Arabidopsis thaliana: one gene and its partner. The protein of the gene in region 1 interacts with the protein of each later gene in a pairwise test. Each region holds a gene or a part of one and is shown in the gene's direction. Other genes may lie near its edges.

Region 1 (6,002 bases):
GCAAAAGAAAAAAGTAACTAATCAACACACAATTAATTAATGAGAGGGAGGAACTAAACGGGTCTGGAGAAATGTACGTGCAAAAGTATCCGAAGTTGAAGATAAGACTAGTGGACGGGAGCAGCATGGCAGCTACGGTGGTTATCAACAATATTCCAAAGGAAGCCACGGAAATTGTCTTTAGAGGAAATCTCACAAAGGTGGCTTCGGCTGTTGTCTTTGCTCTGTGCCAAAAGGGCGTCAAGGTTTGTGAATATATGAGGGAATTGGAATATATATACTCAGCTTCTCATATCAAACAAAAAATAATGTAGTAATGTGTATATATAGGTGGTCGTGTTACGCGAGGAGGAACACAGCAAACTCATCAAATCTGGGGTTGACAAGAATCTGGTACTGTCTACAAGCAATAGTTATTACTCCCCAAAGGTGTGGTTGGTGGGGGATGGAATAGAGAACGAAGAGCAGATGAAAGCAAAAGAAGGAACCCTCTTTGTTCCCTTTTCTCACTTTCCGCCCAACAAACTCCGCAAGGACTGTTTCTACCAGTCCACTCCAGCTATGCGTGTTCCCAAGTCTGCCCAAAACATCGACTCCTGTGAGGTACATCTTTGAATTCTTATAGATATATCTGTAACTTTTATATTATATAAGCTGATAGATGTGTTCATCTATAATGAATGAATGGTTGTTATATATATATAGAACTGGCTGGGGAGGAGGGTGATGAGTGCATGGAAAATAGGAGGTATAGTGCATGCACTTGAGGGTTGGGAGGAGCATGACTGCGGCAACACTTGCAACGTCCTCCGTCTCCACGCCATATGGGAAGCTGCTCTTCGCCATGATTTCCAACCTCTCCCACCATCTCCTCTATGAGCTTTTTTCATATTCATACATCTATGTCCCCTTTCTTGATTATATCTACTTCCCTTCCATCATTGTTTGCTGTTTACTATGTTTTTCTATCGACAATATATAAGTACCCTTGTTACCCTTGGTGCCACGTGCTTCATATATGTTAGAAAGGGCAAAAAAATTCGTCGTATGATATGCTTAGTTAAATTTTATAAAACTCAATAAAAATCTTCAGAAACAGTGCTATGATCATTACATCTTAACTAAGTGATATATATCTGCGTGCCTATTTAACAAAATAAACAAAAAAACAAAACAAAATATATTTGGGTGCATCATCAAATCAAAGTAGTTGCAAAAACTGGACGAGGTTTTTACTTAAATGGTCCTTACCCCGCATGGTCCACTTGCTACCTAATTAAGGATTGGTAGGGTGCGTATACGTATATAAATTGTGGCGGTGGGAGATGGAGTTACTAAAAACGAAACGTACAAGTATTATTCATAGCTCTCGTATAAGGGGTTAGTCCTTAGATCTAGATATTTTCACTTTTCTTTCATTTATGTCGGAGCAACAGACACTAGCTGGCGCTTCAACGTGCATGATCTTGATTGGCTAGTAAATTCCAAGCATCAATACCTAACACATGCCCAACTTGGTTCATTAGTATTCTTTCATTGGTAAAATACCCTTACCTTTCAATAATATCCAGAAATAAATATATGAAGCCATCCATCAACCGGTGCATTTCCTCAAGGCATGGATATGATATCAGAACATCGATGAAGGTGGGAGGGGGTAATTAGCTGAGTGTCATAAATGAGGATCCATGTGGAGATCATCGAATGGTAGTAGTACATGTTTGGTCTTAGCTGGCCCCACCACAAGGAATTGGACTGGTGGGAAGATAGGGGTGGTTACGTCATTCCACATATCTACCAATTAAGGAGTTTAATATAAACCTTGCTATATAATGTACCTTGGCTCACAAGAGTTGAAGAGACACAGTGACGACACAAACATATTACATTCGACGGTATAATGGCCACAAAACCAGGAGTCCTCACCGATTGGCCTTGGACACCCCTCGGAAGTTTCAAGGTGCACTCTGTTTTCTTGTCCTTTAAATTTAAAAAAACGCGTGCTTATGATCGAATCCCGTTACGTTACTGATATATATGTTTTTCTTGACATTGAAACAATACAAAAGTACATCGTAATAGCACCATGGGCTGTCCATAGCACATACAGGTTTGTGACAGATGATCCAGAGAAGAGGGATCTCGGGTACTTCCTTGTGTTCCCATTCTTGCTCTTCAGAATTCTGCACAACCAGGTTTGGATCTCTCTGTCCCGTTACTATACGTCCTCGGGAAAGAGACGCATCGTCGACAAGGGAATCGACTTCAATCAGGTCGACAGGGAGACCAACTGGTGCGCTTTTCTAAATTTTTAACTACCTGCGTGCCTCGTGAGTATATGTAATCAACGTAACTAATGAAATCCTGATATATGCGCAGGGATGACCAAATATTGTTCAACGGAGTGCTGTTCTATATAGGCATCAACCTATTGCCGGAGGCCAAACAACTTCCCTGGTGGAGAACTGACGGAGTGTTGATGGCAGCGCTTATTCACACCGGACCGGTGGAGTTCCTCTATTATTGGCTCCACAAAGCTCTCCACCATCACTTTCTTTATTCCCGCTACCATTCCCACCACCACTCCTCTATCGTCACTGAGCCCATCACTTGTAACTATTGTTTCTTACCTTGATTTTTACGCTGCCTATATTTCCGTTTTTCTTTTTATAATTATTATACGTAAAATATACATCGTTCACGTCCTAACTAGTAGCTTTTATCTGTATATAATGGGATTTGATCAAATGTATGCAGCGGTGATACATCCGTTTGCGGAGCACATAGCATACTTCATCCTCTTCGCGATACCACTACTTACCACGTTGCTAACAAAAACGGCGTCAATAATTTCGTTCGCCGGATACATAATCTACATAGACTTCATGAACAACATGGGACACTGCAACTTCGAGCTAATCCCTAAGCGCCTTTTCCACCTCTTTCCTCCCCTCAAGTTCCTCTGTTACACCCCCTCGTAAGTCCTTAATTAACAACTCCTCTTCTGTTTCATACACTACCAATTTGGCGTAGTAAAAGCATTTACAAGAAACCATTCTTGATGATCTGATACAAATACCTAGTTAGATCATATTAATTAATCCTCTTATGGTCATCATAAAATCTAAGCAAATGATAAATCATACTAATACAGGGGATATATGCTATTATAATAGAATTCCATACACGTACTCCATTCCTGTATAAAATAAAGGTGACGTGATACAGTTGTATGCTTAATATGATCGTCAACTACTGAATCCCTGGACCACAACAGAAAAAAAAACAATTATTTAATATATCTTACATGGTTCAACTTATCGGCACATAATCCAATTTCCCACAACTTTACGCATTGATAGCATCTTTAACCAAACATCCTTTGAGAACTATTTTAAATATCAAATTCATTAGTCGATATGTAGCAGGTGGTCCCTCTAAACGCTCAAGTTATATTAAACCTTCTGGATTCATATTTACTTTTAAATATTTGTGACTTTTTTTCCTTCGGTATTAATTTAGCGCAATGTGAAAGCAAAATTTAATAGTTAAAATACATTAAAGTTTGGATAATAAATGGAGCATGAGAATTGCAGATACCACTCGCTGCACCACACGCAGTTCCGGACCAACTACTCCCTCTTCATGCCCTTGTATGACTACATCTACGGCACAATGGATGAAAGCACGGATACGTTGTACGAGAAAACTCTAGAAAGAGGAGATGATATAGTGGACGTGGTGCACTTAACTCACCTGACGACGCCAGAATCCATATACCATTTGCGCATTGGCTTGGCCTCATTTGCCTCCTACCCCTTCGCTTATAGATGGTTCATGCGCCTTTTGTGGCCTTTCACCTCTCTCTCCATGATATTCACGCTCTTCTACGCCCGCCTCTTTGTCGCTGAGAGAAACTCCTTCAACAAGCTCAACTTGCAGTCTTGGGTGATACCTAGATATAATCTACAGGTCCTCATCATCATCATCATCATCATCATATATATAGGCTGGTTAACTTGCTGATGCATATATATTAATGGTGATATATATATGATGCATGCAGTACTTGTTAAAATGGAGGAAAGAAGCGATCAATAACATGATTGAGAAAGCGATACTGGAGGCAGATAAGAAAGGAGTGAAGGTGCTTAGTCTGGGTCTCATGAACCAAGTAAAGAAACTATCTCTGACTGTTTTGGTTTTATATTGGGTAGATGCCGTACGTACTACGTAGTGTATGTTAAAGCTTTAATTTGATGAACTGAAACAGGGGGAGGAGCTTAACAGGAACGGAGAGGTGTATATCCACAACCATCCAGATATGAAAGTGAGACTGGTCGACGGCAGTAGATTAGCAGCAGCTGTTGTGATCAACAGTGTACCCAAAGCAACTACAAGCGTCGTGATGACAGGCAATCTCACTAAGGTTGCCTACACCATCGCCTCTGCTCTCTGCCAGAGAGGCGTTCAGGTCCTTTGTTTTCCTTTTGCTCCTATGTTGTGATATCAAATTGATGATCTCTAGGAGAAAAATAAAATCCAAGCTTTATCTACATGTATTTATGCTCATGACTCGTAACATTTTCATGTGAATGTCATCCGCAGGTCTCCACTCTGCGCCTAGACGAGTATGAGAAAATAAGATCATGCGTTCCACAAGAATGCAGAGACCATTTGGTCTATTTAACCTCTGAAGCACTCTCATCAAACAAGGTAATTCAGTATACAAAAGAAGCACAATTAATCAAAGAATCAGAAGGAAAATATTCAAAGAGCTTATATAAAGAAAACTAATGAAGGGATTTTGGGTGAAGGTATGGCTGGTGGGAGAAGGAACAACAAGAGAAGAGCAGGAAAAAGCCACAAAAGGGACATTGTTTATACCATTCTCACAGTTCCCCCTCAAGCAGTTACGTAGAGATTGTATCTATCATACCACACCAGCATTGATAGTTCCAAAATCTCTGGTGAATGTCCACTCCTGTGAGGTAAGCATTCAAAGCTACCCAATCCAACTAATTTATTAGAAGAGGTCCTTATTATAAAAAAAACATCTGCAGAACTGGTTACCGAGAAAGGCGATGAGTGCAACTAGAGTGGCCGGCATATTGCACGCCTTAGAAGGATGGGAAATGCATGAGTGTGGCACATCCCTTCTTCTCTCGGATTTGGACCAAGTATGGGAAGCCTGTCTCAGCCACGGCTTCCAGCCTCTCCTCCTTCCACATCATTAAAACTCCAACCTTGGAAGATTTTAGGAGAATGAGAGCGACACGCTCTGTGCTTCTTTTCCTTATGATCCAGCTCTTCCACGCACAAATGAACTATGAAACATATATAAAGCGCACACATATATTTATGCATATCAAGCTTTTGGTGATTATGGTATTGATAGAGTCAAATTAAGCTCGGTGACTATGGTATTAATAAGAGTACTATTTCCTTTTCTCTTTGTGAACTAAGAAACATATATATATAAAGCAAACATGTTCCAGAATATCTAAGTTTTTCTTCTCCCACTCCTAGACTTTATAGTTCTACAAAATTTAAGTAGCATAGAACATAGCATTTGGATCGCTTGATGCTATTACTAGGACAATTCAAATGGTCTCTCATCACTTATAGGAGAAACACCTATCTTATTCAAATCATTTGGTGGTCAATAACCGTTTTGAATACATTGATTGGTGTTAGTTAGTAGTTAGTTCTCATACACAGTGGCTAGAGCCGGGCAAAACGGATACCACCACCGTTTTTTAAATTATTTATTGGTTTTCTTAAATAAACTAACAAATAATTAAATTAGTGATAATGTACTATTTAAAAAATAATTATGTAAATAAAAATATGAAGTTACGAATAAATTCATGAAATTTAAAAATTTAACACTTATCAAAAACAAAACCTAATAGAAATATAAAAATATAATTTTAAAAACAATAAAAACAAGTGTTAAAATTAAAAAAATGTGTAAACCGTATTGAACCTAAGACACCTTT
Region 2 (3,755 bases), on another chromosome or scaffold:
GATTGGTTCCCATCAACTCTTCCTGAAAACAGCATGAAGAGTCTCAATGGTTACAAGGTTCCATACAAAAAACACTAGTACTCTACAATAAACTCCGCCCTTTCTTTCGCGTACTTTCGTTCTTAATTTGTTCATAACTCTTTAGGTGTTTATATCAATCTCATTGATCCTCGGAGACGGGCTTTACCAATTCATCAAGATACTTTTTAAGACAGGAATAAACATGTACGTCAAGTTAAACAATCGCAACTCTGGGAAATCTAGTAAGTATACACCAAAAAAACTATAGAAAAATCGTCATTTCAATAATGTATTATCTGATGTTCAAACGTAAATCGCAGATTCGGAGAAAGATAAGCAATCTATTGCAGATCTTAAAAGAGATGAGATCTTTGTAAGAGACAGCATTCCATTATGGGTTGCAGCAGTAGGATACGCAGCGTTCTCTGTTGTCTCGATCATCGCGATCCCTATAATGTTCCCCGAGCTGAAATGGTACTTCATAGTCGTAGCTTACATGTTAGCTCCATCGTTAGGTTTCAGTAACGCTTATGGAGCAGGGCTAACAGATATGAACATGGCTTATAACTATGGTAAAGTCGCTCTGTTTATCTTAGCCGCTATGGCAGGGAAACAAAATGGTGTAGTCGCGGGACTTGTCGGATGCGGGTTGATAAAATCGATTGTATCGATTTCTTCTGACCTAATGCACGATTTCAAGACAGGACATTTGACTCTGACTTCACCTAGGTCGATGCTTGTGAGTCAAGCGATCGGTACAGCGATCGGATGCGTTGTGGCGCCTCTAACTTTCTTCTTGTTTTATAAAGCTTTCGATGTCGGGAACCAGGAGGGAGAGTACAAAGCTCCTTACGCTTTGGTATACAGAAACATGGCAATTCTTGGAGTTGAAGGTTTCTCTGCTTTGCCTCAACATTGTTTACAGCTTTGTTACGGGTTTTTCGCATTCGCGGTGGCGGCAAATCTCGTTAGGGATAGGTTACCGGATAAGATAGGGAATTGGGTTCCATTACCGATGGCAATGGCGGTTCCGTTTCTTGTTGGAGGGTACTTTGCTATTGATATGTGTGTGGGAAGTTTGATTGTGTTTGCTTGGAATATGAGAGATCGAGTTAAAGCCGGTTTAATGGTACCGGCGGTTGCTTCCGGTTTGATATGTGGAGATGGTCTATGGATTTTGCCGTCGTCGGTTCTTGCTTTGGCCGGCGTTAGACCTCCTATATGTATGGGCTTCATGCCGAGTAAATATTCGAGTTAAAGATAGCTTTTTACGAGTTTTTACTTTTTTGTGTAGCGACAAAAAAATTAGCTAAAGAATTGTGGAAACAAAAAAAACAGTTTATATAGGAATTGTACTTTGTAAGTTTGTATACACAATAAAGTAATAAACTAGTCTCTCAATTCTATTTAAAAATCCATGTCCCAAGTAACTTCTCCCCAAAAAGAAACTCAATATTTTAGAATAAGGTCAAATGGAATTAAATTCCAGAAGATATTTGCCAAAATAGTGATAAAAATACGGTTAAATTGGTATATGTTTTTACTGACAAAAGGCAAGATTCTTCTATTTTAAGATTTATTTCTTTCTTTGAAATCTGCTAAACGTTGTTAGATCACACTTTATGTGTCTGTTTTTTTTTTTGTCAATTCAGCACACGTCATATTTGTATTTTTCAAAGTACCAAACGTGGACCAAAATAAAATCTCGTCAAAAATGGAAACCAAATTTTAATTTGATTTGCACAAAGCCCAATTTGATTTGTTTAAAGTCAAAGCCCAACTTGACCAAAACTACCCCTGCTCATCCAAACCCTAAGCAAAATATCGAGGGTAGTTTCGTATTTTGTTTATATTGAACACAATTAAGTAGGTGAGGAACCTCTATTTCTTCCGTCTTCTGCTGATTTCTGAGCTTCGGAGCTATCGAAAATTCTGAATCTGAAAGGGTAAAGATCCCATCTTTTTCCAAAAATCGATAAGGGAATTAGTATATTCGTTCATTCATCATCGTTCTGATGATTTCGATTTGAATCTGTATCTAGTACTCTGTATTATCAGAAATTTTGATTAGTAGCTTTGATGTGTTCTTGTTTTGCAGTTTGAGTGAAGATGTCTTCAGATCGGAAGGTTCTAAGTTTTGAAGAAGTTTCAAAGCACAACAAAACTAAGGATTGTTGGCTTATTATTTCCGGCAAGGTTAGATCTTGTCTCTTTGTTTGAGAACATCTCTGTTTTTTGACGAACTTAGTTCTCTTCCGCCATTGATTTGTGTCAAAGCTTCGATTTTAAAGTTGTAGAGTTGGATTGTTACTGTTAGAAGCTTTAATCGAGCCCCTCGTAGATTTAGTTGATTCTATGTTAATTCACACTAGAGAAACAGAGTTTGTGTCTACTACTTGGTTATGATCTGTGATTGTTGCGTTCTTTAGGTGTATGATGTGACTCCATTCATGGATGATCATCCTGGAGGCGATGAAGTCTTGTTGTCCTCAACAGGTATAAAACTTGTGTTTCTCTCTGATTCAAGGCGGATTTGAAGCGGCTCGGTGACTGTTTCTGTTCTGATGTGGTGTTTTGTTTGCAGGGAAAGATGCTACAAATGATTTTGAAGACGTTGGTCACAGCGACACTGCAAGGGACATGATGGACAAATATTTCATTGGTGAGATTGATTCGTCTAGTGTTCCAGCAACTAGGACATACGTTGCACCACAGCAACCAGCCTACAACCAAGACAAGACACCAGAATTCATTATCAAGATTCTTCAGTTCCTTGTTCCGATCTTGATCTTGGGATTGGCTCTTGTCGTCCGTCACTATACCAAGAAAGACTAGAAGAAGCCAAAGGCTTGCTTTGATGCTTGTCATTGAATATCTCTACCGATCTCTGTCTATCTCTCTTGCGAAAAAAAGTACTGTTACTGTTGTTTGGTCTTAGACTGATTCTTGTTGAAATTACGAACCAAAAATCATTGTGTTGCTACTAGTTTTACTGTGTTGAGTTTATGATGACAGTGTTTTCGACTTTGATGATATAATAAAAGACTGCTTGATTTGCCCAAACTTAAGCTGCTTGATAAAGAAGTGAGAAACTGGATTTCTACAATTGAACAAATATGTTTCATACAATTGTGGAAATGACAGTTTCAGACTCATCCGTTACATTTTAACAAGAATATTGCCTTGTCTTTTTCATTAGTACTACAATAAAAGCGATAAGGATAGTAGTATTGTGTTTTCTCTGTGTGATGAGTAAACAAAAAGAAAGAAGAAAGAAAGAGAGGAGTGAAAACGGTAAGAACCAAACCGCAACAAACTTTAAACCTTGAGAAAACGCAGCCAGACGAGTGCAAGGGCTTTTGTGTAGTGGAAACACTTCATTTCTGGCTTTGATCGACTTCTTCATCAAATACTCTGTGATTGAGAAAGAGTTTCAATCTTGTCGTGAAGCGTCACGACAAGATGATGGGCATCATCAAGAAGCTTCCAGACATTAAGCTGACCAGCCATGCTATTACACTCTTCCACAATCTCATCCATACTACTGTATTTCTGTATGATCAGTTTCCTACGTAGTACTAACGCCGCGATTGCATAGAGCAACAAATCATCCGTTGGCGGTGCTTGTTGCCGGATTCTGCTCCATGGCGACTTCCCAACTCCAGCTCTAATGGCAGCTTGATCAGCCCACATCACTTCCCAGAGACACAGCGTCTGTTCAAAACTCAACTCCC

Evidence for each region.
Region 2: the proteins of CER1 (region 1) and CB5-E interact in a two-hybrid assay, tested with the Arabidopsis thaliana proteins (one study listed by BioGRID).

Annotation. Positions count from the first base shown.
Region 1 is NC_003070.9:416,918-422,919, forward strand, and holds CER1 (Fatty acid hydroxylase superfamily), read left to right. Parts: upstream 1-1,830; 5' UTR 1,831-1,900; coding exon 1,901-1,960; exon of another isoform or gene 1,961-2,006; coding exon of another isoform or gene 2,007-2,069; coding exon 2,070-2,293; intron 2,294-2,379; coding exon 2,380-2,612; exon of another isoform or gene 2,613-2,732; coding exon of another isoform or gene 2,733-2,757; coding exon 2,758-2,977; exon of another isoform or gene 2,978-3,576; coding exon of another isoform or gene 3,577-3,596; coding exon 3,597-3,972; intron 3,973-4,066; coding exon 4,067-4,174; intron 4,175-4,273; coding exon 4,274-4,474; intron 4,475-4,608; coding exon 4,609-4,716; intron 4,717-4,802; coding exon 4,803-4,991; intron 4,992-5,063; coding exon 5,064-5,237; 3' UTR 5,238-5,341; downstream 5,342-6,002. Other genes in the region: AT1G02190 (Fatty acid hydroxylase superfamily), read left to right, coding at 45-245, 331-603, 706-879. UniProt on the Arabidopsis thaliana protein: Aldehyde decarbonylase involved in the conversion of aldehydes to alkanes. Core component of a very-long-chain alkane synthesis complex. Involved in epicuticular wax biosynthesis and pollen fertility.
Region 2 is NC_003076.8:21,757,498-21,761,252, forward strand, and holds CB5-E (cytochrome B5), read left to right. Parts: upstream 1-1,831; 5' UTR 1,832-1,967; intron 1,968-2,119; 5' UTR 2,120-2,130; coding exon 2,131-2,217; intron 2,218-2,450; coding exon 2,451-2,517; intron 2,518-2,605; coding exon 2,606-2,856; 3' UTR 2,857-3,081; downstream 3,082-3,755. Other genes in the region: YSL3 (YELLOW STRIPE like 3), read left to right, coding at 1-57, 146-263, 342-1,279; AT5G53570 (Ypt/Rab-GAP domain of gyp1p superfamily protein), read right to left, coding at 3,427-3,755. UniProt on the Arabidopsis thaliana protein: Membrane bound hemoprotein which function as an electron carrier for several membrane bound oxygenases, including fatty acid desaturases.